4 linked regions of the Styela clava genome follow. The protein of the gene in region 1 purifies or fractionates together with the protein of each later gene. This does not show direct contact. Links are inferred from orthologs where the notes say so. Each region holds a gene or a part of one and is shown in the gene's direction. Other genes may lie near its edges.

What was found.
Region 2: the proteins of rRNA 2'-O-methyltransferase fibrillarin-like (region 1) and nucleolar protein 58-like purify together in Homo sapiens (affinity purification with mass spectrometry; 7 studies listed by BioGRID and IntAct, counting the BioPlex papers as one, with this or other methods). This does not show direct contact. The link is inferred for Styela clava from reciprocal best matches to the Homo sapiens genes FBL and NOP58.
Region 3: the proteins of rRNA 2'-O-methyltransferase fibrillarin-like (region 1) and uncharacterized protein LOC120330391 fractionate together in Homo sapiens (co-fractionation; 3 studies listed by BioGRID, with this or other methods). This does not show direct contact. The link is inferred for Styela clava from reciprocal best matches to the Homo sapiens genes FBL and NOLC1.
Region 4: the proteins of rRNA 2'-O-methyltransferase fibrillarin-like (region 1) and uncharacterized protein LOC120345426 purify together in Homo sapiens (affinity purification with mass spectrometry; 3 studies listed by BioGRID and IntAct, counting the BioPlex papers as one, with this or other methods). This does not show direct contact. The link is inferred for Styela clava from reciprocal best matches to the Homo sapiens genes FBL and TGS1.

What each region holds. Positions count from the first base shown.
Region 1 is NC_135253.1:21,920,963-21,928,858, forward strand, and holds the start of rRNA 2'-O-methyltransferase fibrillarin-like, read left to right. Parts: upstream 1-4,889; 5' UTR 4,890-5,021; coding exon 5,022-5,034; intron 5,035-5,647; coding exon 5,648-5,809; intron 5,810-6,995; coding exon 6,996-7,153; intron 7,154-7,896. Other genes in the region: eukaryotic translation initiation factor 3 subunit F-like, read right to left, coding at 299-418, 1,671-1,779, 2,707-2,850, 3,140-3,290, 4,390-4,498.
Region 2 is NC_135257.1:6,828,877-6,836,093, forward strand, and holds nucleolar protein 58-like, read left to right. Parts: upstream 1-4,844; 5' UTR 4,845-4,897; coding exon 4,898-6,541; 3' UTR 6,542-6,702; downstream 6,703-7,217. Other genes in the region: uncharacterized protein LOC120346509, read left to right, coding at 1,023-1,088, 1,478-1,573, 1,644-1,660. UniProt on the Homo sapiens protein: Required for the biogenesis of box C/D snoRNAs such as U3, U8 and U14 snoRNAs. Part of the small subunit (SSU) processome, first precursor of the small eukaryotic ribosomal subunit.
Region 3 is NC_135261.1:11,303,321-11,310,595, forward strand, and holds the start of uncharacterized protein LOC120330391, read left to right. Parts: upstream 1-4,269; coding exon 4,270-6,357; 3' UTR 6,358-7,275. Other genes in the region: flap endonuclease 1-like, read left to right, coding at 1,857-2,993. UniProt on the Homo sapiens protein: Nucleolar protein that acts as a regulator of RNA polymerase I by connecting RNA polymerase I with enzymes responsible for ribosomal processing and modification.
Region 4 is NC_135257.1:9,444,626-9,452,491, forward strand, and holds the start of uncharacterized protein LOC120345426, read left to right. Parts: upstream 1-4,849; 5' UTR 4,850-4,907; coding exon 4,908-4,996; intron 4,997-5,254; coding exon 5,255-5,336; intron 5,337-5,684; coding exon 5,685-5,817; intron 5,818-6,261; coding exon 6,262-6,341; intron 6,342-7,009; coding exon 7,010-7,094; intron 7,095-7,517; coding exon 7,518-7,600; intron 7,601-7,685; coding exon 7,686-7,741; intron 7,742-7,866. Other genes in the region: uncharacterized protein LOC120345327, read right to left, coding at 1-13, 284-364; leucine-rich repeat-containing protein 57-like, read left to right, coding at 3,047-3,766. UniProt on the Homo sapiens protein: Catalyzes the 2 serial methylation steps for the conversion of the 7-monomethylguanosine (m(7)G) caps of snRNAs and snoRNAs to a 2,2,7-trimethylguanosine (m(2,2,7)G) cap structure.

The sequences.
Region 1 (7,896 bases):
CCAAGATGGCGGACATCGGAACGTAACATGGGTAACAGGTTAGGGTTAGGCGATTATTTTTTTCCAATTTTTCTTATTTTAGTCCTATTATCAGTTCGAAGACTAGCCAAGAGCCTCCCGTAGTATTTATACCTAAAATTATGGCCTAACCCTAACCTAGTACACATATTACATTCCGATGTCCGCCATTTTGGTTCGCATACTTCGGGAGCCCCCGCTGCACACTATCACAATTTTATTAAATATTGATATTTAAATATGTGATTTACTTCAGACAACCCTGAATTCACCAGCATACCTGAACACTTTTGACATAATTCAAACAGACATCCAGCATTGAAGTTAAGTTTTCGATTGCTTCTGTTACATGCTGGAACTCTGATGGTACGGTTACTACACCTGCTTTCTTTGTGCAACCCTGGAAAATTTTTTTTTTATGCGAAAGTTTTTCTTTTATGTATTTTAACGGCCTTGTTGGAAGAAGTGTCCTGGAATACCATCCTAATTTGTTATTCTAGAACAGGGTTTCCCAAACTGGGGCCTGCTGGGGGTCCGTGATGACTGCACAGGGGGTTCGCAACAATATAAGAAGAGTCTGGTAGATCTTTGATGATTGATTTCAATCAAAAAGGCCATTGTTTTGCTTTAGTTGAGCGATACGGATGAATATCTATTGCTGTCAGAAAATGCAATTAATTTTATTTTAAAACGACCTACATGTGTGAGGCAGCATTTTCAGCTATCACCAATATGATGGCAAAATACAGGTGAGACTTGCGTAAAGTCGGACCTACGAGTTTGCTTGCCACAAATTGCTCCAAAAATTGTGCAGCGAAACACATTAACGTTGTTTTGTTGTATCCTACTGTTCTAGAAACATTATCCTTCCTCGTTAGTTAAGCACAGAAATTGTTACGACATAGGAAGGGGGTACGTCAAAACTAATATTCACAAATAGGAGTCCGCAGCTCAAAAAGTTTGGGAAACTCTGTTCTAAAAAATAATATATTTTGTGATTAACTATGCATTTATATCATAGCGAGAGCATAATGGGGGATTCATAAGCTGCTGCACAGGAATGAAAATTAATTTCATGAACATTTACTAGTTTTTTTTGACAAATTATCAAATAAAATTTTATTGTGGAGATCATATCATTATATCACAGAGTGAGGGGAAAGACAATAATGCACTTTAATCAATGTTGAGTTGTTTCCAAGTCCTGTGTCCAACATAATCTGATATTTTTCTACAAAATGATGATATATTGAGCTCATGAAGTATGCATACCAAGATGAGGGACAACAGAACGTAGTGTGTGTACCAGGTTAGGGTTAGGCCATAATTTTAGGTACAAATACTACGGGAGTCACTTGAAATCGTAATAGAACTAAAATAGGGAAAATTGTAATAAAATTATGGCCCAACCCTAACCTGGTACATATACTACGTTCTGGGGTCCGCCAGATTGGTACGCATACTTCAGAAATACCGATATTATTACATAAGGGGTCGTGAGAGCTTGTATCTTGCTTTGAACTAAATTGTACAAATAAAGATCCTATGAAGACATTAATCTCGCCTGGTGAGTACTAGGGTCTTGCAGTTTCAGTAAGTTGATTATTGCAGATGCGTAGATCTGGGTGGTGCAAGGAGTCATAAATACTTACAGTTTGAATTCTGTCGACTCCAACCCTCTCTGCATCGTATTGAAGTAATTTCACATCAACGGGTGTGAACATCATTCCTTGGGTTTTGCCTGGGACTCCAATGGGTGAGCTTGTGTAAAAAGAAAAGATATATATTATTGTATTCCAGGATCACTTAAATTGGCACCTAATTGATATAAAATTGTGTTCAACCTTGATCATACTTTTAGATTTAAACCAGGGTGGTCCAAGGTTGTCAACTCCGAGGGCCACAAAATTATTTTAGCATTATTCGCGGGCCACAAATAGTGCCAAGAATAGGTAAACAGTGCAATACAAAACAAGTACTTGTCAGTATTTGTCTTTTGTCAAGCTAAAATATGCAAAAACCACCAAAAAAAACCTGCATAAGTCTTTTTATATCTACATTTAGTGTAAGATTTCGACGGAAAATGGTACTCCTGTAGTATGTGAATCAAGATGGCGGACACAGGAACGTAGTTTGTGTAACAGGTTGGAGTCAGACCATAATTTCACGTACAAATAGCTAGTCCCAGAACTAGTAATATAACTAAAATATAGAAAATTGGAATAAAATTATGGCCTAACCCTAACCTGGTACACATACCACGTTCCGTTGTCCGCTATTATTGTGACGCATACTACAGGTGTACTGGAAAAAAGTGCCATAACACTAGTCACATCAGTGATGTAACAATATGTTAAAAGATTTTTCTGATTAACTTTATGGCAAAACAACACCAAATGCGATTTTTTGATTACCCTCTGATTCCGGCGCGGGCCACAGATAATGCAGCGGCCGGCCACATGTGGCCCGCGGGCCTGAGTTTGGACAACCCTGATTTAAACAGCTTAAAGTCTCGTCAATCAGCTTTTACTAACCTATAATGAATAAATCTACATAGTTTCAGACTTACAGTAGCTCAAGGCAACTTCACTCAGAACCAAATCTTTTTTACCTCTGAGTGGGAGTGCATTATTACCTTGCCTTGAAAAAATTCTCATGAAATTTTTTTTATTATTCATTACTCCCCACCTTATGTATGCTTTGAATCCAAGTTCTCCGTTAGTCAGTGTTGTATCAACAGTGAGATGAACTGGCATTTTATTTTTACTTTCTTTCGTATAATACTCGTGGATAAGTACAGAGTGTTCGGTAATGTCATGCCCAGTCGCGTACCTGGTGAAGAATAAATAGAAGTGTTTATTGATAAAAAATGTTATTATTATTGGTATCATGCACCGCAGTGTTCACTATTAGCGCACTTTTTTTGCGATATGTGAGTGACACCTTCGCAGTTATTTTTAAAGACTGCGAAATCGTCATTTTTAATGCGTCTGTCGTCTTACCAGATGCCCCGTTGAAAAAAAAATTTAATTTTTATGTTATATAAATATTCTCCTGAGGACATCCTTGAAATCTGAGAAGTGTGCTTGGGAACAAACCAAATGTGGAAAACTGTTCTTACCATCCAACGATCACTTCATTTGTATTGACCTTCCTATGAAGGTCGTACATATTCTTGGCGTACTCCATGTCAAATGCGACTTCATCGTCTGATTCTGTGTGAGGAACACAGAAAGCATTCGTGACTGTAACTGCGTTTGCATCAACAGTACCTGGAAGAAGTTAGGATAAGATTTGATGAGCTCATGTCATGACATATTTTTCTCCAACAAGATTTAACCTAGACATAGGGCAAGGGTAGCGAACCTTTTTCAATGAATAGGTCAAAAATTATATTTTTATCGCGGAACAGAAGAGAGTGGGTCACAGATATTTAAGCAATGTTTGTATCTATAAGAAACTCCTGAACCTAAGCTTCTGTTTGTGTTGGTGAAGTTTTGGGCTTTACTTATGCAGCACTTCTTCTATCAGGGACTTTTTATGACACCCTATTTTATGAAATTAGAGTACGAATTACCAAAAACAAGATACCGTACAAGATTAGGAGTTTGGAAAATTACCATACCGACCCGAAAATTAACAATTTGAATATGAGCGATCGCAGCCCTGACTGCCAACTGACGGTACATTATAATAGTTTAGTTATTGTTGGAATAATTGAAAGCCATTTTCATCAACTTTTATCACTGATATGTTAGCATTTTTTTTATTTTATTCGTTCCTCGGCGGGTCAAGAATAAAACGCGGTGGGTCACTTTGTCACCCGCGGGTAAGTGGTTCGCCATCCCTGACATAGAGAAATCAGCAATGTGATAGGAAATGAGAGCAACATAAAATGCTACTGTCAGTAAAGCCATTTCCTCTACCATCACTTTTATATTTTGATTCTGTAAGTTTTAATGTTTTCCTTTTTCCAACCTTTATTCTGTTCGTTTTTGTTTTGTTTTTATCAATTATTTCTTCGTTTTGTATGCTGATTATGAAGTTAAAATATTCACGATACGAGTGAAAAAAGAAATATGAATACTTTAATATTATAATCGAATTGACGAAGAAGCCATTTGAAGTATTCATAAAATTAATTGAAGCAATTAAAATAAAAATATTTAAAATTGAAAAGTTAAAAGGAGCTCTCTAGATCTCTGCTTGTCCAGTGACTTGTTTATAGGTTGATTTCCTTTTGAAATACTCATGATTGCACAAGAACAAAATCAAACTTGCAGAAAAAAAGCACAAATGAATATTACTAATGAATTAATATTGTCACATAACTAAATTACAATTAAAAAGCACTAATTTTACAATTCTTACCTAAAAGTGTTCCTACTACTCTTTTTGCATCTTCTTTCCTCCTTTCGAAACTGTCAATAATGGTGAATAAAACCACAGGGTGAACGCAGACCCGCCGATTTTCCGACATTTTTATAATATTATAATGTACTAAGAGTTATCTGATGGAAAATATGTAAATTAGCACAATATTAAAATCTTTTAAAATCATAAATAGATAAGATTTGTAAGATTTAACAGGTATTTTTCGAATACTCGAGGCGTGAACTCAAAAACCTGGGATTCGGCTTGTAACTGTATGCAAGTGAATTACTCAGGAAACTATCGGTTGTGGTTCCGTGTTCAACTATACAAAAATCATTTATCTCCAGCTATTGAAAAAATTATATAAAGATAAAACAAACATATAAATATATTTATTATAATTTTATCTATATTTTTAAATATTTAATTCATAACGTACCCTCAAAATTACATCACGAAACATGACGTATATAGCAAAATGATACGACTGAGTGACTCTTACCATTGCACGTGTGTTGTTCACGCTGGTCTCTTGGCTGCATTTGCGCTGTTAAAGTTTCGTTAGCTCTTGGTTTGCATTCGCGTTGTGACTTACTGAACTTTATCAAGGATTTTGTGCTATCTTCTAAATGGGGAGACCTGGTGAGTTATTTGATGTGTTTAATATAAATATAGTATTTTGTATATTAATTATGCTGGCTCAACACTTGTGTGATATTTTCATAAATTGAAGGTAAACCTTACTTAAGGTTTTGTTAGCGTTCCTGATTCTGCGATCAGTTTTATTTATTTGTTTTTATCAATCATTTTTCGCCAGTTATGCTGATTATTCTGTCGATATAAACTTATACCTATGTGGTACGGTAATATAACAGCGCAACCTATAATAATTAAAATTAGCAATATACGGCGCGTTTTATCCAAGATATGGCCGTTCAAAAATTTTGTCCGAAGTTAGGAACTGTCCGAAGTTGGGCGCTTTTACGGTACAGCAGTGATGTGTTGTTTGTTTAAGTAAGCATAATAGAGTAACATCTGAACATTATGTGTCACAAGAATATTTGATAGGTTTCCACTTGTTATTTATGCTCATATGTTTAAGTCGTCTTATTGGCTTTTCGCTCTCTAGGTAAATATGTAAATCCTATCCTTATCAAAAGTACGTTGAATCTTTCAATTTTATTTTGTGCTTCTAAGTTTCTCGGGTTCATCTCATATTTATTGTTTAAAACTTTCTTTTATTCATTTTTTTCAGGTTTTTCACCAAGAGGTGGCGGCAGAGGGGGTTTTAGAGGAGGAGGAAGAGGGGGCGGCAGAGGCGGATTCGGTGGCAGAGGTGGAGGTGGGCGTGGTGGATTTGGCGGAGGTGGGCGTGGCGGATTTGGTGGCCGAGGCGGGGGTAGAGGAGGACCCCGTGGTAAGTTGGACTTACTCTTTATCAATGTTATTTTTACAGGATTTTGGGGTGTAGTTAAGTGAACGCCGCAACTGCTCAAATAACTCCAAACAAAAATGTGATGTGAAATTTTAATGTAATTAACATTAAAGTCTGTGTGACGCATAAAAGATTTGTTTGGCGTTATTAAGCACTCAAAGCATTCATTTTCACATCACATTTTTGTCCAAAGCAAAGACACTTATAGTCACTTGAATATGAAGGATACTCCTCTTTGATCAGAGTTACGAACGACAACAGAAGAATTTTTAAGAGGGAGTTCTGAAATTTCTAATTGCCAAGTTAGACGAGGCGCAGTTCTTACCACTTCATGGCAGCTCCTGCCACGAACGTACCACGCCGTCTCCTGCCATGGTTTTATGGCGCTATTACGGGTATATTTACAAATTCATGTACCATATTTTAGTTTATCATGCGAAATTATATCTACTTAAACCCTAACCCTAACCCCAAATCCATCCAAACTGTATCCATAAGAAAAACATTCCAACTCACCAAATATTTATCACCATCAGCAGATTAGGGGCAGCCCTGCTATTACAGCCGACCTGCCGTGGTTACGGCATTAAAATTGGTGGTATTCGATTTGCTGCCGTAACCACGGCAGCTCGCTATTGGTTTGTGGCAGCTAAAAAGTCAGTCGCCGTGGGTTTGGTCTTAGTGGCCGTGGTTTGGAAATCCCGCCATGGTTTTGCGGCAGCTGTAGACGCCACAAAATACTTGAAACTGCACTTGAGTTAGACAGCTGGCGGGTCCGGCTGGAAGCAGTAATGTGGGTTTTCAAGAGACTTAAATGTCTAAAAAAACGTTTTGAGGATAGGAAAAATTTTCATGTATAACACAGAAAAATCCTTTTTTCACAAAAGTGTGGGGTTCCGACCCCTAAACCCACCTGGGTACACTCCTGCCAAGAACTACGCCCACTCAATCAGAAGTAAAGCAGACTAATTTTTGAGCAAAGTTGCAACCGACCTCTGAAATGCCAAGAGCCACTGGAACTTCTAACGTGAAAGTGCTTGTACTGCTGTTCTCTAGCAAATTTTACTGAAGTCATTATTGCAGCATTTGCTTGATTTAATTTTTCTGTTTGTGCCATGTGATGGCATTTTCTGTGATATTACATTGAAGTTGACTTTATTCATGGCAGGTCGAGGTGGAGGAGGGTTCAGAGGTGGAAGGTCAACGGTTGTTGAACCCCATAAGCATCCAGGAATATTCGTAGCTAGAGGAAAAGATGACGCTTTGTTGACGAAAAATCTTGTACCCGGGAACACCGTCTATGGAGAAAAGAAAGTGGAAGTTGAGGTTCGTGAAATTGAATGTTTTTTTTATGAATATATTCGATTAAATATGATTTATCTTGGGGAACAGTGTTCCCTGTAAGGAAGTTAGGAGTACTATGGTGTTTCGCAGTTAAAAAAAAAATTGCGAAGTTGCTTTGGTCGATTTTAAAGAGGTGATTTTATCATGGGAAAGCCAATAGGTTGATTTAATAATGAGAAAAACTATATCTTTTCAGCCCAAGTCAGGTATGAAAATAGCTCACTGGTTAGTCACTCAAAATACACGACCATGGTGTGTTCTGGATGTTATTACAAGCAGTATCCAATGTAATTCAATGAAATGTAAATTCTCGGTTTTTCTCATTAAAACAAGACCCACAAAAATATCTATAAAATAACTTACGAACTACCATACTTCCGAAAACAAGTAACTGGCTAACTAATTCCATACTCAACATAAACTGGTAACCGGACAAAAGGCCCTGGTTTGGCATATGGTTAAACCATCTTATCGGCTTTTCTCTTTCCCAGGATAAATATGTAAATCCAATTAACTGGAGTGTGTAAACATGTTGATACGTTTGGATGAAGGACCATGATAGTTAAGAGGAAACTTTTTTTAACACATGTTTTATACAGAGCGTCTATACTCTATAACAGGGGTCGGGAACCCATGGCTCGCGAGCCATATATGGCTCTTTTGGTGACGGCATATGGCTCCCAGAAAAATCTAATGTTCCAAGACTAAGCTTACTATTGTTACGA
Region 2 (7,217 bases), on another chromosome or scaffold:
ATTACTATTAGGATTACTAAAATGAAAGAATACTATTCTAAAATAACATAAAATATGTGATAAACTGCCAACTATAAATAAATTGGTGTCGTATTTTTGCGATCTTGGTATTTGTCAAACTTGATTTGTTCTTTCGCACTTGAGATTATTTTTAAGCAAGATATCGCTGTTTAAAAAATCACAATGTCTGGGGAAAATACGAACAATTGAAAATTATTTTATTGCATTCAGCTCCGTCGGTAGTTTCAGAATGAAAAAAGGTACATCGCGGATCGCGCGCACCATTGATTGCGTGCGGCTGCGTCGGTAGTTTCAGAATGAAAAAAAAGGTAAATCGCGCGCACAATTGCTGTGTTTCGATTTCGCAGCTACTACGATGAAAACCTAACATAACACCAAATTTTGTGATTTACAATGTCTATAGAAGCGTTTTCAATCTGAGGTGAGTCTGCTGAAACCAAAGTGTGATCTTCCATTTTAAGTTTCAGTTTAAATATTTTAGAATGCCGCTTTTCAATCAAGAAATTTGAGTTGTGGATTTACCTTTTTATTGATTATTATTTTTAGCATTTCGTCGCCGATGACTATAATATGGTAACATGTTTTTCACATTGAACTCATAATTCCCCACGAGAACAAAAAAGGAATTAACGTCGTCATTGTGTAACAATACATGTATATGCCGAGGGAAATTTTTGATTTAGGGAGAATAAACAGCGGCGTAAAGATGTTTAAAACACGCCATGCTGACGGAAAAAATCGGCGATTGTAACAAAATGAAATAGCGCACGTTACTAACGGCCTTTTAATTAAGTCTTCCAAAAATGTCAAAAAAGAAAAGATTCAGCATTTAGAATAAATAAAGTACTTTTAACTTGCTCGGGAATAATAATCTGAAAGTAACAATTTTAAAATTTATTTTGGGGCTCCGCGAATAATATTCAACCTTTCAAGGGCTCCGCAACACCAAAAGTTTGAGAACCCCTGACCTAATATATATATCACAAATTTAATCATCGTAGAAGATAATCATGATGAGCACATGAGAGAAATGAATGGACTTCATAACGAAAGAGTTTCGGATATGGGTGAATATATGATGAATTATCTTCAAAAAATTACAAAATATTTACGACATATTTGCATTCCTCAACTTTTACTTTCTTACTTATCGATTTTAATCGGTAAGTATGTTGATAGGTATTTGTCTGTTTATCTGTCTGTCTGTTAGATGCACGCGATATCTCACGAAAGTGAGATTGGATCTGCTGCAGATTTTGCATGTGCATTCATCATATTTCGTACCAGTAGCCTATTGATTTTGGGCGAATTATGTCGTATAATAGCGAGTTATTAATTAATTAGTGATGGGACACAAGGTGTCACTATGGAGTAAGAGCGCTGTTTTGGGGGATCTCCTAACTTTCGATCGATAAGTCTTCGGTCTCTGACCGATATTCTCGTTTGTGTTTTATAGATAATTTCCTTGGCGGTGGACATGACGTACATATGACCGACTATAAAAATTACATCGCGAGTTTTGTTTGTCCACCGGGTGGAATATCTGACAAAGGTATGAATAATAGAATTATTTTACCATGAATGATGCTTATTTTGTTAAGTTTGCCTGTTTCGTTTTACAGAACACCAAATGATTTGAGGATTTTTTCCAAGCCCAAATCCAACTTTGTCACAAATTGCTGCATACCTTAATGTTCTTCATCAACTCGGAATTTCCGTCAACTTCCATGCTTCTACATGTTCAGACAGAGACTGGAGTCATGATCATTAAAAAATGTAAATCCCCCTAATTCAGTTATTATTAATATTCAAGATTATATTCTTAGTTGTGTTATAGTTCAAAAAGGTTCAACCAGAAAACATTGTGAATTGTGCCTGTATTGCTATGTACGCTATGTAATAAATAAAGAAAATGAATTGCATATTTTAATGTTGTTTAAGATTGTTGCCGTATGTCGATAAAGGTATCACAATTTATTGGATCATAAAAACAGAGGTAATTATTAATTTACACCAATATTTCCGCTGTCAACAAAGTAAAGAAGTCATGTAATCAAATGACTCCTTGCGTCCATGCGTTATCGTGTTTAGAAGCATGCTAGAGTCTTGAGGTATCTGGGTAAATTGAATAAAATCTACGTGTGTCCAAATAATTTTTTTTATTATCCACACCAAAGTTTAAAAAATGGCACCAACATATCGTTTTATAACAGATCAGTTCTTTGCATGCATTTACAACAATTCAAGTGTATAATACATAACATTACATTATATAATCTACAACATCCTTCATTTATTCATCCTTCATTAAATTGATAATGTTAAATTCGAAATGGTACAATGTTTGAATAGGACAAATTTGCAGTTTGTTTATTGCTCAATTTATTGTAATATACATCTACAACATACTGATATTCGTATTGAAATCCTCTCTATTGCATTTCACTGTTCCAACAAAGTTTTATCATATGTGGCGTTTGAGAAGTAGTGTTGTTGATCGGCCGTAGGCTATAGTATCTCCAAATGGAAATTTCAGAAATGCGTTTGAGAAGTAGTGTTGTTGATCGGCCGTAGGCTATGTATCTCCAAATGGAAATTTCAGAAATGCAATCTGACTCTATTGTGAAGACACAGTATGATGCTGTTGGAATTCCTGAATTCTACTCCTATCTCTCAGAGCATACAGCAACACCAGCATCATTGTCGCAAGTTCAACAATATCTGAAGAACACGACAGTTTGCTAGCATTTTAATGAAAAGTGTTGTCGACCAACAACTGTGTGATTTTCTCGTAAACACAGAAAACGTGATTGTACGACATTACTAAGAGATAAATATGATATTGAAATGATGGGGAATGTCCTGATACACATCGTCCTTCCAATACCGCCACAGATAAAAATCTGACATTTTCAAGTCCAATGGACCTTTCCCCGACCTTTGACCCTCAAAAAATTCTTCCTATACCTTACCATTGCAAAATTTTCGGGGCTTATTTTATATTTTATCATTATGATTCATCGCATACAACAATCTGTTTTTTAAAAATACCGGTAAACAATTTCAGCCTAGTCTATCACAGCTATTTCTATAATAATTTTTTATTACTGCAATTAAATTAAAACTCCTAGGAAGACAGAGTGATCATTGAAATATCTAATTTATATTCAAATTCCCGAAACACAACTGAAAACTAACGAATAGAGTTCAAAAACGCGAAAACGAGGTAATGTTTACGACCACGCCTGAAAATCTGTGTGAGTGAAAAAAGTGTCTGAGCGGATGCGAAAAGGTAGCATTGTTACGTCACTTTTTGAATCTTGCTGATTGGCCAATGTCACGAAGTAAACAAGGAAGTCAATGCTCGGGGAAAGGTCCATGAATGAGATGCTTCACCTTTTCTGAAATTGTTTACTTATCCAATCAAGGGCGTGATTTGATATGCCGATGGGGCCCTGTCTTGCTGGATACACGTCTGTCTCCTATATGCCTAAGGGGTGATTTCGAACATTTTCTAGATAGAACATTAATTTTGTGCAAAATGTCCAGGATTCCTGAACTTTTTGCGTTCTTTGTGTCCAATAAAAATCGAATGGCATAAAATAGAAAACTATCCAGTATCCACGAGCCATGGCGAAACCAAAGCGATCACCGTGGCGTAGATTCACTTTGGTCAAGCGGTCAAACGAAACGTAAATTTAACATTTACTGATGCGTAACAAGTAACTAGCACGTGTGTGTCGAGCGAGTCGATGACGGCCCTAAAGTATATTCCAGTTCTCGAACAGCGACGTTCGGCGCTGGTTAACGCAATGTGAGATCGGCTTAATTTGTTATTGACGTTATACACATGGAGTTGCCGTATGACCTCCATTATAGTACATCGTGGCGATGGTTATATATATTTTGTGATGGGTCTTAGAAATAGTTCAGAGGGTTTTTTGTGCTTGACCTTACACTTTCAGACTTCACAGCCTTCTGGCCTCAAGAATTTTTGTTTTGTCGATCGGTGGTGGAAAACACATGTCTAGTGAGAATGTTTAAACGTTGCAATTTTAATCTTGTGATATAGAAGTGAGGATGTTGTATATAATAGGAAAAATTCTTTGATATCTCAGAACTCTTTTTTCATATTTAATTCTCAATTTATAATATTTTAAATATGGCAGTACTGTACATCTGCTTCAGTAGGCTACTTCATACTTAAACCGAAACTGTGGTTTTGGCCCAGCCAAATTCAATGATTCAAAATATTGGATCTTACTGCAGTCTGCAGTACTGTGTCAATTCTGAATTTGATGGATTGCATTAACCAGCTAATACCAAGAACTTGAGGAAACTCCAAAATTCCTATTAGGCTATCAGAGGAAAAGGAAATAGATTTTCTTTAATTAATGAAGAATAATGAATTTCTTTAATTAATTTAATTTATTATACTGAATCTTCATAGACCATACCATGGAATTTTGAAATAATGGGACATAGTCTTAAGATTAGTAAGTAGACTATCTACAGATCTAAACTATTTTGGACTGTTAGAGTTCCATTTTCTAAGCTTCACATCACACTGTCACATGCTTTTAATTTTAAGGTAGCCAAGTTCAATTTATGAGTAACTCTGTTGTATGTTATTTGATTTGTCTCTCACCGTTTCATAAGTATAAAAGCTAAAAAGAAGAAAAATTTAAACACAATCCTTTGAAATTATATCCAACTCGAGTTGCAGCATAACATATAATATTATTATTTATTTAATATCTGCCTGAGGCTATTCTGCCCATGATTACATTGTCAGATCTATGTTTGTATTATTATACATGAATCAAATCAATTTGTTACATTTTCCAGTAATGGTATAAGATAACACAGTAGCAAAATGTTGGTGCTATTCGAATCACCAGCTGGCTATGCCGTATTCAAGGTTCTTGATGAATCAAAAGTCAGAGAGGCCGGAGACTTGCAATCGCTTTTCAGCACAGCAGAAAGTGCATCCAAAATGGTCAAATTGAAACATTTCAAAAAATTTGAAGATATGACTGAAGCCCTTTCAGCAACAACCGCAGCCGTGGAAGGAAAGTTATGCAAGCCTTTAAAAAAATTGCTCAAGAAAATAGTTGCAAATGAAGCACATGAAAAACTTGCGGTTGCTGATGCAAAACTTGGAAATGCAATCCAAGACAAGATGGATTTAATGTGCTTGTATAGTCCAGCTATACATGAGTTAATGAGAGGAATACGTGCTCACATGACCAGTCTTATAACTGGGCTGCCTGAGAGCGATGTGACAGCTATGGCACTTGGACTCGCTCATAGTCTTTCTCGATACAAATTGAAATTTAGCCCTGACAAAGTTGACACAATGATCGTCCAAGCTATATCGTTACTTGATGACCTGGATAAAGAATTGAATAATTATATAATGAGATGTAGGGAATGGTATGGTTGGCATTTTCCAGAACTTGGTAAAGTTGTTACAGACAATCTTGCTTTTGCAAAGACCGTAAAGAAAATGGGAATCCGAACAGAAGCAATAAATTGTGATTTGTCAGATATTCTTCCAGAAGAAATAGAAGAGCAAGTGAAAGAATTGGCAGAAGTATCAATGGGTACTGAAATATCTGAAGAAGATATCAGCAGGATTACTTACTTATGTGAGCAAATCATCGAAATAACTGATTATAGAGCACAGCTCTATGACTATTTGAAAAATCGTATGACAGCAATTGCACCAAATGTCACAATACTTGTTGGTGAACTTGTAGGTGCAAGGTTGATTGCACACGCTGGTTCTCTTCTTAACCTTGCTAAACATCCAGCTTCAACAGTGCAAATTCTTGGAGCTGAAAAAGCACTTTTTCGTGCTTTAAAAACCAGAAAAGAAACGCCTAAATATGGATTGATTTATCATGCTTCACTTGTTGGACAATCCAATCCTAAACACAAGGGTAAAATCTCAAGAATGCTTGCTGCAAAAACAGCCCTTGCTGTTCGTTATGACGCTCTTGGAGAAGAGTCCTCAACTCAGTTGGGAGTGGAAAATCGTGCTCTATTAGAAATGAGATTGAAGGCATTGGAAGAAGGAACATCATTTAAAATTAGCGGAACTGGAAAAGCCAAAGCCCAGGCTGATAAATGGACAAATAAAAGCGAGGTTAAAATGTATGATGACGCCAGGGATTCAACTCTGCCAGGCCCTAAGAAAAGAAAACATGAAGAAGCCTTGATCGTGTCCGATGGTAAACTGACTGCGCCCTGTACTCCAACTGCTGAACCTGTTAAAAAGAAAACTAAAAAAGAGAAAAAGATCAAACTTGAAACACAGGAGTCTGACGATGATCTTAACACATCCAGTGCTACCAATGGAACGGAAGTTGTTAAAAAGAAATCTAAAAAAGATAAGAAAGTCAAGACCGAAGTACAGGAGTCGTCACCAAAAAAGATCAAGACTGAAGTACAGTCTCCACAGGTGGAAGGCAAACCGAAAAAGAAGAAGAAAAAGTCAAAAAAGGAGAGTGAATGATTTCATAAGAACATTAACGTGTTTTAATTTTTTTTTCAAATCTTTCATTTGAGGTGATTTTTTGAGACTTTCGCTTCAGTGCTTCATCATGTATGCACTGTAGTGTGCTTCTGTACCATTTTAATATCACTGCCAAATATTAATAGATTTCAACCATGGAAGATGTCGGAAGGATTTGATTGTAACAAGTGATGGGATCCGGGGGTTTGCGCGAATCTATTTATTTTCTGAATGAGAGAACCTGTTGTTAGTAAGTTTAATCCAAAAGAGAACCCATTCTTAGAATTTTGAATTCCATCACCATTTGTAACCAACCTAACCTTGTAGCAGACCTGGGAAGTAATTTTGATAGAATTTCCCAAACAAGCCTTCAATAATTTCTTTCTTACCACTATGTCGTACTCCTATTATTGGAGCTGCACATACTTTGCGGTAGCTAAGAATCTGAATAATCGGACTGTTTTTGTGAAATGAGAAACACAAAGCAGACCATACTTTTTCATACTCAGAACAAGGTCCTGTACAAGCACCCATTGACATGTAAATAGCTATATTTGGGATGACCAGAATTTATTATACTCCTGGGTAATGTGGTTGGAATTGGATTTAATCATGAGATTGTAAAAAGCTGTGAAGCCCACATAAGTCAAGTCTACTAATTATAATACATTTATAT
Region 3 (7,275 bases), on another chromosome or scaffold:
GTTCTACAGTCTCTACGTTCTTGCCAACGTACTCATGTTCGCGCGAATGTTCCACGGTCGCAAAAGCTTTTCCACATGATGCCGCTCTGCGTTTTTCATAGTTACGTGCAAGTTCTACCAAATGCAGAAAATGAGCTTCAAGCACGAGGTTATTCCAATTTCGCAGACGTTTGAAACGACCTGTCCTGCACAGATTTATTGAGTAGAATTCACGTCCAATAGATAGGTGCCGATATCAGAAGACGTTCTGTAACCACTGACCTCCAGACTCTTGGTGGATTAATAAGTAATTACAATTCACTTCGGATGGATAGGTGCCGATATCGTTAGACGTTACCGGTACCGATATGGAACCACTGACTTTCAGACTCTTGGTAGGAGTGGAAGTGGTGACTCCTCTGCGGCCCATGGGCCAGGGCCATGGCCCATAGAATTGGGTCTCGGCCCATCAGGCTATGGGCCGCGACTCACTTGGCTAACACAGACAGTCCCCGAACTCATGATAGAACTAGGCTATAATGTAAAAAATCGGATTTTTTTTGTCCTAACCCTAACCTGGTACACATACTACAGGAGTATATTTTTTTGGTTCGAATATTGACAATTTTGTGAAAATTGAAAATTTTGGTAAGATAATTGAATTTTTCCTGATGGGGCCGGCCCATGGACCGTAGTGGAGTCACCACTCTGCCACTCCTGTAGCTTAGTAGACCAGTAAACGGCAAAATTCGATTTGCCCATTTATTTTAGAAATTCGGCGTCGTAACATTTATTAATATGCCAGTCGTGATATTATCAATCACAGCAAAATACATCAAAATTATTATTTTTTTTGACAATTTTCACATTCTGTCATTTCAGCATTTTATGGCAGTATGGTGGGTTGAAAATGACAACACACTTACTGAAATTTGCTCGAAATTTGGGGAAGTAACTTCCAAGAAGTTGCTAAAAAATTGAGGTTTAAATAAACATTTTGACATCTGAACATGCAGACATGTCAAATAAAGATATCTACCAGCCAAGGCAATTTCACCATGTAATGTAACCTGGCATATGACTTAAAAACATACCTACTTGCTACTTCTGTACTTGCAAGATAGATTTCATCAACATTGGGTAAATTAGGTAAAAAATAACTCCTGCACTATGTGAGTGATCAGGCTTCATGCGGAGCTGTTTTATGCAACAAATAAATATGATATAATCTACTAAACGACATCTTACTGTCTTAGCTTGTGACAGTAGCCATAACATTGACCATTTTGTTGTCGATTTTTGGTACGGCAGCTTTAGCTCGTGCCATGGACATCGTTTGGAGGGTAGGTATATGGCTTATTCGACATATGGGACCTAGCATCTTCATAACTACCCTCGTTTGGACAGGGAGAGGGGGGAATTAAATTGTAACATGTTTCAATAGTATAATTTTAAAATTGAATACAATTAAAACTCAATCATTTCTAGTGCATTTTCTTTGCCATGGGTGACATTTAACAAAGATAAGCAACTGCAGAACTGGGGCTTACTAGCCAGGTTCAAAAAAGATTAGTTTAAACCTCTGGTTTGAATGCCTATTTGACTAGAGAAAAACTAACATACTTTTTAGTGCAAATCTTGTTTTCAATTAATCTAAAAAATTTGGGGCAATGGGGGCAGACTATCTGACGATGGTTATTCACTGCTTTCAACTCTCAGCATGGTCAAATCAAACTTCTGACTTTTCCATGAACCTCATTTCATTTGGACCTCTTGCAATTTTAATTACTGAAAAAAATCTGCTTCCATTTTAAAGCATTTTCAATGTCTTTTTTTATAGATTTTAGCTTACCCAGTTGTCTTATAACAACAGAATAATGGGAATTCTCGGTCTCTCAAAGTTGATATTCGACAAAGCCCCATCTGCTGTCAGAGAAAATAGCATTAAAAATTACTTCGGTCGAAAAGTTGCGATTGACGCCTCAATGGCCATTTATCAATTTCTGATTGCAATTAGACAAGATGGAAATCAATTAACAAATGATGAAGGAGAAGTAACTAGCCATCTTGCAGGATTGTTTTATCGTACAATTCGAATGTTAGACAATGGTATAAAGCCTGTTTACGTCTTCGATGGTAAACCTCCTCAGATGAAGTCTGGTGAGCTCGAAAAGCGAAAGGAAAGACGAGAGGAAGCTGAGAAGAAACTTGCGGAAGCAACAGAGGCAGGAGAGCAAGAAGAAGTTGACAAATTTCAAAGACGACTCGTGAAAGTCACTAAACAGCATATGGATGATTGTAAAAAGTTACTTACTTTTATGGGAGTCCCTGTCGTCTCTGCACCAACTGAAGCAGAAGCACAATGTGCTACTTTGGTAAAAGCTGGAAAAGTTTATGCAACGGCCACAGAAGATATGGATGCTCTTACATTTGCATCCAATAGACTTCTACGACATATGACATTCAGCGAAGCAAGAAAAATGCCAATACAGGAATTCACTCTAGAAAAAGTGCTTCAAGAAATGGAAATTACACAGGAACAATTCATTGATTTGTGTATTTTACTTGGTTGCGACTATTGCGGGTCCATTAGAGGTATTGGACCTAAACGTGCCTATGACCTCATCAAACAACATAAAACAATTGAAGATATTTTGGGGAATATTGACAAGAAAAAGTACACAGTACCAGAAGATTGGGCATTTGCTCAAGCAAGATCATTGTTTATTGAACCTGATGTTTCTCCATGTGATGACATTGAACTTAAATGGAAAGAACCAGATGAAGAAAAACTCATCGAGTTTATGTGCAAAGAAAAAGGTTTCAGTGAAGATAGAATTCGAAATGGAATCAAGAAGTTAATGAATAGTAAGAAGCAAAGTACACAAGGCCGTCTGGATGACTTTTTCAAAGTCAAAGTATCAGCATCACCAGCTGTGAAAAGAAAATCTGATCCCAAGGGCAAGAATACACCTGCAAAGAAAGTGAAAAAGGAATTCAAACGAGGAAAATGATCTTCTAGAAAATAATCAATATCAAAAACATTTTTGTGTATGCATAAGATACTCAAGAATAATCAATATCAATACTTTTATTGAGTCTGATTAGATAACAGAGCGAGTGAACATGTTCATTTATGGGAACAATGTCTTGTGTTACCTTGTAACCTTGTTGGTTAGTAGACTTGTTCCTATTTTGTAATAACGGCTATTTTGCTATTTTTTTCCCACCTTATGGACTCCAAAAATATTTCTGTGGAAGCCAGGATACCCAGGTGAATAAATAATCTACACCTCTTATCTCTTCGGCACCTAATTTGTGTATAACTTTGCGGTATATGCCACATTTAATTTGAATATATGCTCATTTTAGGGCTGCATTCATAAGGAAATATGAGATTTAAAATCAGTGGTATATTATTGAATAAAGAACTTGCTTATAACTTCATGTAATTGAAGTTTTAATCTCATTTCAACTCATTTGTTACACATTATTGAATAGACTGTTCTTTTTGTACTATTTTTCATACCTTGTTCCTCGTAAAGTTAGATTTTTTTCAAATCACAGCCTTTATGTAAATAAGCGGCCTTGTGTCTTTTGTTCTCTCTACCCCAGGATGAACATTTATCTTCTTTCAAAACAATCATTGAATGATATAATTTGTTATTAGCAATTTAGCATATCCATTTTTGTTTGTGTAGTATTTGTGATACATTGTCAAGAATTCCATTTTAAATAAATATGCATATCCTGGCTCGAGATCAATGAAAAGTTTAAACTTCGAAGTTTAAACCCTTATTATTTTTGTATTGAATGCTGTAAAAAATAATATCAACAAATCTTCTTCAGTGGTCTTTTTAAAATAAGGTTTTCAAATATATTGCCAGATGCTGACTTAATATACATATTATACATTCTCTCCGCTAGATGGTGCTCAAGATTAATAAAAATTAGATTTTTGTTCAGAATGTTTATCAGTTGGACTGGAATTTCGAAAAGATCATTCATTATTGATATTTATATAGCATTCAATTCTACTGTACTTGCATAACATTTGCTTATCTCGTTGTCAACCTATTATGTGCTTTGCCAAACTTTTTGATTGCCTCACTGCCATTACATTGACTCTTTTTATAAGGTTTTTGTACACATTGTTTTAGACATGCTTTCATTGCCCACTTCTGAAAAAGTTATCTCAATCATATTTTGTTAGCTTCAGCTTTGTTCACAATCTTAGCATATTGTTTTTTTTTTTCAGCTTATTAATAAAATTCAGAATAAAATTTTCCAATGAAAAATATACCTACTGAAAAGAGCTCAGTTGTTGCCAAGATGGCCGCGCAATCATGCGACGTTGAACGATTGATTTATAAATATTTTATAGATCGTAAAATGACCAAATTGGCAAAAAAGTTTCGGAAAATCACGGACACTAAATTACCAGAGTCGGATCAACCAACTTTGAAAGAGGCATATCAATTATGGAAGGAAACTCAAGTAGACCAAAAAACACCGAATGGAACAAGTACAACAAATGGAAAAACTACAAAAAGACCAAGGAAAGCCGATCCACCATCTAGCTCTGAAAGTGATATGTCATCATCCGATGAAGAGAAGAAAGTTCCAGCTAAAAAGGCTAAAATTATCCCCAAGAAAGAGGATTCTTCTGAATCCAGTGAGGATACATCCTCTGATGATTCTGAATCAGACAGTGATAAAAAGAAAGAAGTAAAAGCGACTGTAAATAATAAGAAAAAAGAATCTAGCTCTGAAGAGGATAGCTCAGAGGAAGATTCAAGTAGCGATGAAAAAAATAAGAAATCCGCATCTGGGAATCTAGTAAAAACTACAGTTTCAGAGTTGAATGGAAAGAAAGATCCAAAGAAGAGTAAATTAGAGAAAACAAGGGAACAAGAATCATCTTCCAGCTCATCTGAAGATTCATCAGATGAGGAGAACACTTCAAAAAGCGTTGCAGTAGTGAAAAAGCAACCTGTGAAAAAGAAAGAATCATCAGATTCCAGTGAAGACTCTGATGATGAATCTTCTGATTCTGAGGATGAACCGAAAAAGAAACTTTTAGTAAAGAAAAAAACTTCTCCAGCAAAAGTGAACCAGAAAAAGGAAGAATCTTCATCGGAAGAAGACAGCGACAGTGAAGAAGAGGAGAAGGTTTCTAAAAACTCGATGAGTGTGTCAAAGACAATAAAAGCTAAAGATTCATCAAGTTCTGACTCATCATCTTCTGAATCAGAAAAAGACGTTGAAACAAAAAATGCTAAAAATGTTTCAGCTGTAGCTAAAAAGGAAGATTCTTCAAGTTCTGAAGACACATCTAGTGATGATGAAAAAGAAGAAACCAAGCCTGTTATAAAGAAAACTGCACCTGCTATTAACTCGAAAAAAGAATCCTCATCTAGCAGCTCAGAAGAGTCATCAGACGAGGAAAAACCAAAGGAAACAAAATTGAAAGCAGTTGTCAAACCAGTTGCTAATAAAAAAGAATCGTCAAGTTCAGATGAATCCTCTAGTGATGAGGAAGAAGAAAAAAAAATAAGTGAGAAAACCAATTTGAAAACTTCTAAAAAAGAATCTTCAAGTGAGGATGAGGATTCATCCAGTGAAGATGAGGATGTGAAAAAGGCAGATGCTAAAGTAACAAAACCCACAAATACTAAGAAAGAATCCTCATCAGATAGTTCAGAAGATTCTTCTGAAGATGATGACAAGAAGAAACCAAAGCAAACAAATACTTCAGTAACAAAAACAAAAGATTCCGGAACCTCTGATTCAAGCAGTGATTCAGATTCAGAAGATGAGAAGCCTAAGGCAGCACCTGTTCAGGCTCAGATCAAAAAGAAGGAAGATTCTTCATCATCAGAAGAGGATACTGATAGTGATGATTCCAGTGAAGAGGAGGATGCAAAATCTGCAAAGAAACCGGAGGTAAAAAATACGCCACAAGTTATTAAGAAAGAAGAATCTTCCTCCTCAGATGAAGATGATACATCTGAAGATGAAAAAAAGGTTACGATAAATAAAACTGAAACAAAAGAATCATCTTCATCTGATGATGATTCTTCTAGTGATGAAGATGATAAAAAGAAAGCAAATTTGGTTGCAAAACCTAGCGCTAATACAAGCATTTTAAAAAGAACGCCTGTTGCAAAATCTACTCCTATAGCAGCTGGAACGAAGAGGAAGAAGTCAGCTTCGTCAAGCAGTAGCAGTAGTGAAGATTCTTCTTCTGATGATTCTTCTAGTGACGATCAATCTTCTAAAGTAGTATCTGTTACTCCAGCGAAAAAGAAAAAACTGGAAATAAAGTCAAAGAAAACCACAAACAATAAAAAAAAAGGGACCATAAAATCGAAATAAAGTTTAGGTGATCATGTATGCATTGAACAATATCAGATATGAGTCAGGATTGTTACAAAAAAATTATGAACGGTTCATGTATGTATCCTATACATCACTTAAAGTGGAGGCTATATATGGTGGTTCATTAAGTTTTTTTTGAACAGTTAAAAAAAATAATGCTCAATTTGATGAATTGATCTAATCTGTAATAATGTCTAATTTTCACAATTGTCAATTACTCATAACATATTGATTATATGAATTATAATCCCATGATATGAAATTCTTACATTTTTGTCACAGTGTCCATGAGTCTGCCTGGGGTTAATTTTTGAACTTAGAAACCTTTTTTACTGAAGGGTAGTATTTCTTGGTTAAACCTTTGTTTTATTATCTTGATTTTCTTGGGACTTGAGAGCAAATGTGCTTTAGTTTGGGACCAAATATATCTTGGTGTTTGGTGGATTTTATCCTTAGTATGGTTTTTATTTTTACTAACTGTGTGTTTCATCCGGGACCCATTGCCATATTTGATATACATGAATTTATTATTTCTTCGAATTGGAGCTGATGTTTAAAATTTTTCATACGGTCTGTATCTGCCCCATTTCCACCTTTTCATTTTTTAAATCATATTGTGTGTCTGGTGCTGTAATATTTAACAGCTTTGTTTATTTGAAATGTGAGCTGACAGTTTGATAAAGTCTGAGTTTGAAGTTTTCTTATTTGCTCAACTCAAATAGTTTAATGATTCGTCACCTGATTTATCATTTATGACATAATTTATTTACCTGGCTTTGTCTGAGTCCACAATCTCTCGACCAGTACTATAGATTAATGTTAGAGTTGAATGAGCTGCTTTTTCCAATGGAGGTTTTAGCAATCATGGTACAATTTCATTTGTTAAGAATGGTTAGGAATGACACAGTCAGCGTT
Region 4 (7,866 bases), on another chromosome or scaffold:
CGCATAATTGACCCTGAAATATTAAAATATTAAAAGACTCAATGTGAAATAAATTATACCCGGTGTATTGAAGTCAGCAATTATCACAGAAAATCAACACCAATCAAGTGCTTAGGTCGGGTTAGGTTACTGTCCCGCCTTGTCCTGATTTATGATAGATAAACAGAATTAAAGAAAACCAGTAGGAAATTAATTAATGTTGGAGCAACGAGAAGAGCAATGACTAAACTCTGAAACTATGCAATAAAAAAATTATATACAAAACATATATTAAATAAATCACCTGCAGCCTTTGTTCATTTAATCCCATTAACAAACTTGAAGGATGCTCAACTGATTCACAAACGTACATTCGGGTTGCCATTTTTGTTTCCTTCTCAATCTTTCCCACTGCGAATTGTAGAAATATAAAGAATGCAGACTATTCAATCAACTTCTTTGTTGGTATGCACAAATATTTGCTCAGAGGTTCCAACTATCACGTATCATGCATGTCTTTATACTGATATAAGCTATCTACACACCAATTTTTTTTATCAAATTATCTAAATATTAATGCTTTTGGTATTGGTTACTCATAAACAGCAATGAAACCTTAATACAGTAATATGTACAAATGTTTAAAATTCTTCTGTTATTTCAGTATTTATCATTTTAAACGCTATCTATCTATGATGGGGTCTTCAAAAAGTTATTAGTTATTGTCCCTTCATACTGAAAATATCTTTATAACGCTGTATTTTAGGAGCATTGTATCTATTGTCATCACGGATGCACAATCATTCAACTTTAAATACCAGAACACATCCCCTAAAATATTGTTATAGCCTAATTCCCGAGTTAGGAAGAAGTCAAATCTTAGAAAACTTCTATTTCTGTAATGGATGTACGATGTACCCAAACCTCTGCATGTACACAACATTCTCTAAATTGTCATAGGCCTACCCATAATCATCCCGTTATCGATCGTGTTGTCATTTCACATCTATTACCCTACTTAGCTCGGAGCTGAACGTTCGCACGGCCAACGCGATAACGAACGCGCACCCTGCTCGTTTCACCCTGCGCGTAAATTTAGGCTCAGGCGGTCTCGTCTGGTCGAGGATTATTGAGATTTGCAGATCTAACACGGGTCAGTAAACCCAAACGTAAACATGTAGTATTCTAGCTCTGTATCGCCGCTTTCGGTAATATTTTCATCGGCATTGACTATGGCCGTCCGCAGTCAGCACAAAGCATTGACAAAAGCTAATGAACATTTCAAATATGACGATTCAACAATTGGCTAGTTTCACAAAAACTAAAATAGAACAATACCCAGATATCTCTCCACTGCGTAGGTACCGTAATTGTGTACCATGGCTATGCATGTGTTACCCGGTTGACAAAAATAAACCCATACCTTCCTTAGTCGCTGATTTGGACAAATGATTATTTGAAATAAATTCATATGTAATTATATTTTCGGGACCTAATATATTGCAATTTGAAGGCACATGTTATCAGAATCATTCTCAGTAAGAACCATTATGTCTTGTAATCAAAAATATGCCGATAAAAGGTGAATTCAAATCGTTGAACCATTGGCATACCGGTAACGAATTCATGATAAAAATTTGCGATAAAAGATTTCCGAAGCAATTGCCATTTGTGCTACCCGAAGCCAGTATTACTTTAATTTGATCCTGAACCTATTTCAAAATAAATATATCTGCAGCAAATAACATGGCAAGTTTTTCTCATTTATGAATTCCCGGTGACACTTTCAAAAAAATTGTTATGCTGTTTTGTGAAGGGGAAGATGATATTACCAAGTTTAAAAAGTTAAAATATGCCTTGACAATACTACAATGGATGTTTCTTCGATCATCTAAGCATGGGTGTAAACATTGGCCCGTTTCGATTTGGGTTCTATTTGACAGTTTTTGGTTATGTTTTCAAAATTTAGGCATATATCGAACGACCTGAAAAAGCTTATAGCAACAAATATCTGAGATTACAATCAATGCCGTTACGTATATATGTGCTGCTCCAACTTGCATTAGTCAAAGATCCAATTACATTACATTAACATATCAATGCCATTGAACAGTGGTGGTAATTGATTTTTGGGGTTATGTCTCTCGTCTTTTTGAATCAGTCTAGACATGAAAAACTATATTCATGATTTTTCTCATCGGTGCGAATAAAAGGTTTCGAATGCCTTTTTTATTAATTTTTTTGAGTATTCTACATTGAAAATGTGAAACAATTAAATGTTAATTTGAATGCATTAGATTTTGAATAGTGGAATTTTATTTTTTTATTTTTATTTTAAGAAAATCGAGCCGTCGAGTATGTTATCATCCATGCGGAATCTCGCTCTAACTCTAACATGTGTATTTTCCCATTATACCTGATGTAGTGTATTGTAGTTAAATTTACTGATTTTAATTAATAGCTGGACTTCGAAAAATGCTTTTCATATCATTTCTACTCCATGTACTTAGATTCTACAATTGAAACGCGATAATTAGACAGGAGTATCGGGCGTCATGAAAACTATGAAAGGAAATGCATTGATATTCAGTGATACAGGTAGGTCTGCGTGTTGATTGGGAACGCGGACAGGTAGGAGGAATTATTTTAGCTGATACCGGTAGGCCTAGTAGTCGGGAACAGTACAGTCATTACACATTTCTGCGTTTAGACATTGCTGCATTAGCTGTTTCAAACAGACTTGTTATTGTTTTGCGAATTATTTCGAGTTTATTGTCTTTACCCGATGGTAACTTGGTGCCATGGATACTGAAATGAGTTTTATTACAGGGATGAATGAAAGTTTGCAATTTATAGAAAGAGCAGAAGAGTGAGCCCAATCGAAAAAGATTAAGGCCTGGTTTAAATAAAGCTGTTTTCAGTGACCGAATTACAGTATTGGGAAGAGATTCATAATAAAGGTTGAAATTGGAGGTCAAAATAAAATTTCTAAGCTTACTAACTCATTAATATTTTAGCTTTTACTGTTTTGCCTATCTCAGTAATTTATTCATATGTAATCTTGGTCATGGGCAATCAAAATTCAGTAAAAAAACACATCGAACATGCTGAAAGGACTGGAGTATGTCAACTCAGTAGCATGGGATTGGATGAATTTCCTGCTCAACTCCTGGGGTTATCAAGTAAATTGAGAACTTTGGATTTATCAAGTAATAAACTCCGTGGACTACCAGAAGCAATTGGGAATTTTGCAGTGCTGAAAAGCATCATCTTGAATTCCAATTCACTGAGCATCTTATGTGATGGCATATGCAAGTTACGAAAGTTGGAAAGTCTTTCCATTTCACACAATCGACTTGTATCACTTCCTCCTGATATAGGAAAAATAACAAGCTTGAAAGTTATAAATTTACAAGGGAATAAACTTGGGGACATTCCCGTTGGTTTGACTCAACTAAAACACCTTGATTCTCTTAATTTATCACATAATTCAATCAAAAGAATACCCGATGAAATGAAAGATCTTCAAGCTGTCGAACTCAATCTTAATCAAAATCAGATCTCTTCAATACCAGAATGTTTGCATCAATGTCCGAGATTAAAAGTTTTGAGATTCGAAGAAAATTGTGTGCCCCTGAATGCAGTTCCTGAAAAACTATTAACAGAATCCAAAATTTCTCTTCTCGCTTTTGATGGTAATTTGTTTGATCAAAAAACATTTCAAGATGCTCCTGGTTATGGCAAATATATGGAAAGATATACTGCAACTAAAAAGAAATTTGACTGAAAAAGATGAAATGCAATATCATAGTCTCTATATGACTGTTCATTGATTCAGATTATGGATTGAGCAATTGAGTCTTGTAGGAGGCTGTTGTTTATATAAAATTTATCATTCATTTGTTATCAAGTCAGAATGTTTATTATCTCATGTTAATTTATGTAGAATGTTTTTAAGTATTAATAATTTAATATAATCAATCATTTAATTTACGAATGTTACCGAACCCCGATTCAAAACTGAAAATAAAATTTATATAGAGAATCGATTTGATGAAATATGAAACTAACAAATTCGAATTTCTACAAGATTAAAATGAGAGGATGACAAAACATGAAATTATCTTCAATTTCTCCTTTAGTATCTATTCAATAATGAGACAGCTCGTGCATGGAGGATTTTTGGATTCCTCTCTGTTGCGGGATGATTCATGCATGTAACTGACTTACTCTACTTTCAAAGTTCGTACATAGCAACAATTACCTGATAAGTATCTCTATATATTATGTCCAATTTAGAATCGTAACTAGCTGAGTTTTTTAGGTGACCTGGAATACTGCAAAGATTAAACTTTATATGATGGCTCTGTCAACAAGGACTGCAAACTTATTTTTATTATTTTGTCATATTTTTGTGCTCTATAGAGATTTATATTCTCTCATGTAACAATTTGCTGCTGAAATAATCCTACAATTATTGAATTGATTTACATAATACATTTAAGATAGGATTAATCTGTTGAGTAATTTAAAAATGCCTGTATTTGATCTCAAGGAAAACATTACATATAGTTTGCCATAATTTATAAACTCCCAATGCCCATTACATGACAGTGAGAGTAAATTTTTATTGTTGAAAATGCTCCTTTTTAATTTGTTTTAGGTACTTTTGTGTAAGAGTAAATGTGTTGTGTATAATAAATGTTTTTTTTTATCAGCTGAAAAGAGTTGAGACTATTTTTGCTAAAATGACAAAAATCATATGTAAGCTTGAAATGGGGTCATATGTGTGAAAGTATTCAGATAATACCCAGAAATTCCAACAAGGAAGATAGTCAAGCACTTCTTTGTAACAAGAAAAAGGGAGAGGAAGACATAGCTTTAAATAATTTACAACTTCGACCGTGGCACTGTCGGAAATATGCAAAATGTGTTACCATTGGACAAAGTTGGCAGAAGCTGAAATGTTGGATTTATCGGAAAAATCTATGTGCATTTTATCCCGATGTTATTTGAGGTAATATTTGATGTAGTATTTACTCCACAGTAACAGTATAAATCATAGTATACAAACTTATGCCTACTTTGGATCACTTTTCTTGTTCTGCAGACAAATTGGAATGTTGAGGTTTTCAATGCTCGATTGAAATTCAATAGCCCTATGCCCCTATCTTCTAGTTTCTTTGATGCTTAGATGTGATATGATATGTTAAACATGTAAAATCCACAAAGCACTGATGATTGCAATAATTCTTTGAATGCTTTCTAATTTCAGAGACATCAATGCTCTTGTCTATGAACGAAAGCTTAATTTAGCCAGAAAGAATGGAAAATATCTACAGTTTGTTGACTCCAAAGTATGAAGAATATTTTATCCCTTTCTATATTATAGAATATTTTATATGATAGTGATAATAGATGCAGATTTCACTAACCTCTTTCATAAATTCATGTCATAATTATCATTAACAACTGAGTTGGAAAACCTTATGAATGATATAATAAATTCTTCCTGTTCTCATAGTGGTTGGACTTAACTTTGGCATTGCAGTGTGGTTATAAAACCCCATTGCCACTGCCTCATGTGTAATAAATTTTGTTGAACAGGAAAGCTTACTAAGAAACTCATTTCAATGGATTCTTGGTCAGAACCCTCAAGTTAAGACCATAAAAATGTATTTCTGATTATGCATCTTTCTTTGTAGCGCAATTCGGAAAGTGATACATCCTTTGAAGAGAATCTGTCTTCATCTGATTGTGAGATTGAAGTCAAAGATCTTGTACCGGTGAAAAATGATTCTCAAACTGAAGATTCACAACCTTGGACAAATTTTGAAGGTAAAAAAATTTGTTCAAGTTTTTATGTCAGTATAAAAAGTATTACTATCAGTACTTTTTTAACCTCATTTGCCTATTATCTATAAAAAAATTACAGTATTGATTTTCAAATGCTTTATAAGTTTCAATTACCAGTACTTTTGTATTTCAACTATTACAACATATTATTCTTGAATCTAATACTTGGAAAATATCCCTATTTGAATACCCAGTCGTTATTCAAACTTTATTTTTTCAAGTTGTTTCGAATCAAGCCTGACTGTGTAATTGTGTATGTACTTACTGTCGAATATAAAAATGTATGTTCGACATTTTATAACTTAATTTAAACTTCAATTTTGCTTATTATGTCTAGAACAAATATGCTCTTATTTGTATGTCATCATGTAGCCTACTTTGTTTTTTAAAAAACTAAAAAAATTGTTTGCTATTGGGTACATTCAGGTGAATTCAAGGATGATGCGGAATTAATGAAAAATTTGGGACTGCCTGTCTCATTTTATGAAACTCGTCTGGAACCAAAGGTACTCATGGAGAAAGTTTTTAAAAATTTCTACTTGTCCATATTCTGTAAAGAATTGTTAGTTTATTAGTAGTTTTTAGCGAGTTATCAAGAACTTTGCTTTAATAATGTATCATTTATCTTTTCATTACTTTGCCTTGGGGAACAAATAGGGAACCAGCGGCGGGAATCTGGTTAGGAATAGTAATGACTCGGTCAGATCCAGATCTGTGGCGCCAGTATATTTAACTTGTGGCTTCAGCTCTGGCACGGAGCTCTATTTTTCAGCCGTAATGCTAGGCTCCAGCTTCGTTTTGGTCTTCATACCATCAATGTTTTTAGTGTTACCACCACAATGAAACATCAGCCCAAGTTGTGAAATCTATGTCTTCAAAGTTTTAGATATACAAATTCAACTTGAAATTAATATTATAGATTGAATTTAGAGGCTGAAAAGAATAGATTTTATTATTTATATAGCTTATTACAAAATTATAAATGTAAAAAAATAATTATAATTAGTTGATTAAGAGCTGAAGCCACTAACATATCTGGCAGCTCTGGCTCCAGCTCCACCAGAATGTCACGGCTTCATGCCTCCAAGCTTCGACTCCGCCCCCAGCCCCGTGTAAAACGGTAATACGAATGAAATAATTTTTCATCTATTTTTATGTTTTTTTTTATAAACAGTCACATAAAATTGACAAGACATCACCAGAATATCTTGATAATTGGTTAAAAAATAGACTCAAAGACGAAGAAGAGCATTTTGAAGGTACGTCAGTTCACATTTCACCAATATATGTAATTTTTTCAAAAACTGGGAGGAACTTGGTATTAAAAGCCTGAACAACTGAATATAACAAATGTATGCATGTTCATTCATCTTGTGCTGGTGAGGAATATAAATAAGCTGACAATTATTTATGTTGGAGACCTGATGCTTGAATATGACTAGACTTGCCTGAAATAACTAATGTGCGATATGGGCAAGTTTTATTACCATTAGATCAGTGTGATGGCTTAGTGTGGAAAGTGTTAGACTTAACTGTGTCTGTATTGCAGAGCACATGCCTCTGTCCTAAATCTCATGCCTCCACCTGCATCCAGGGTGTGATTAAGGTTTTGCCCATTATTTCAACTACAAACACACATACAATTACAAAATTAGATGCAATTATTTCATTTTTATCGTTAGTAGATGACAGTGAAAAATCCAATCATGGAGATAGCAGTGACAATAAAATATATTCAGAATGGTTGGAATACTGGTCTGTTCAGGTAATGTGATGGTGATATAATTGTTTAACAATCCACAATGTCTCTTTGGATGCTATTGATAAATTTTTATTTTTTATTTTTTCAGGGCCCAAATTTAGTTATAGAAAGCTGGAATATTTCACGAAAAAGTTCTAAGCTCGGGTGAGAATTTAGGATTATATATTGGAAGACCTACTTGAGCTACTATTTAAACAAGTTTCTAGAATTGTAATAATGATTTATTTGTATTATTTTTTTGCTGTTTTGGCTTTCAGTCAATGAAATAT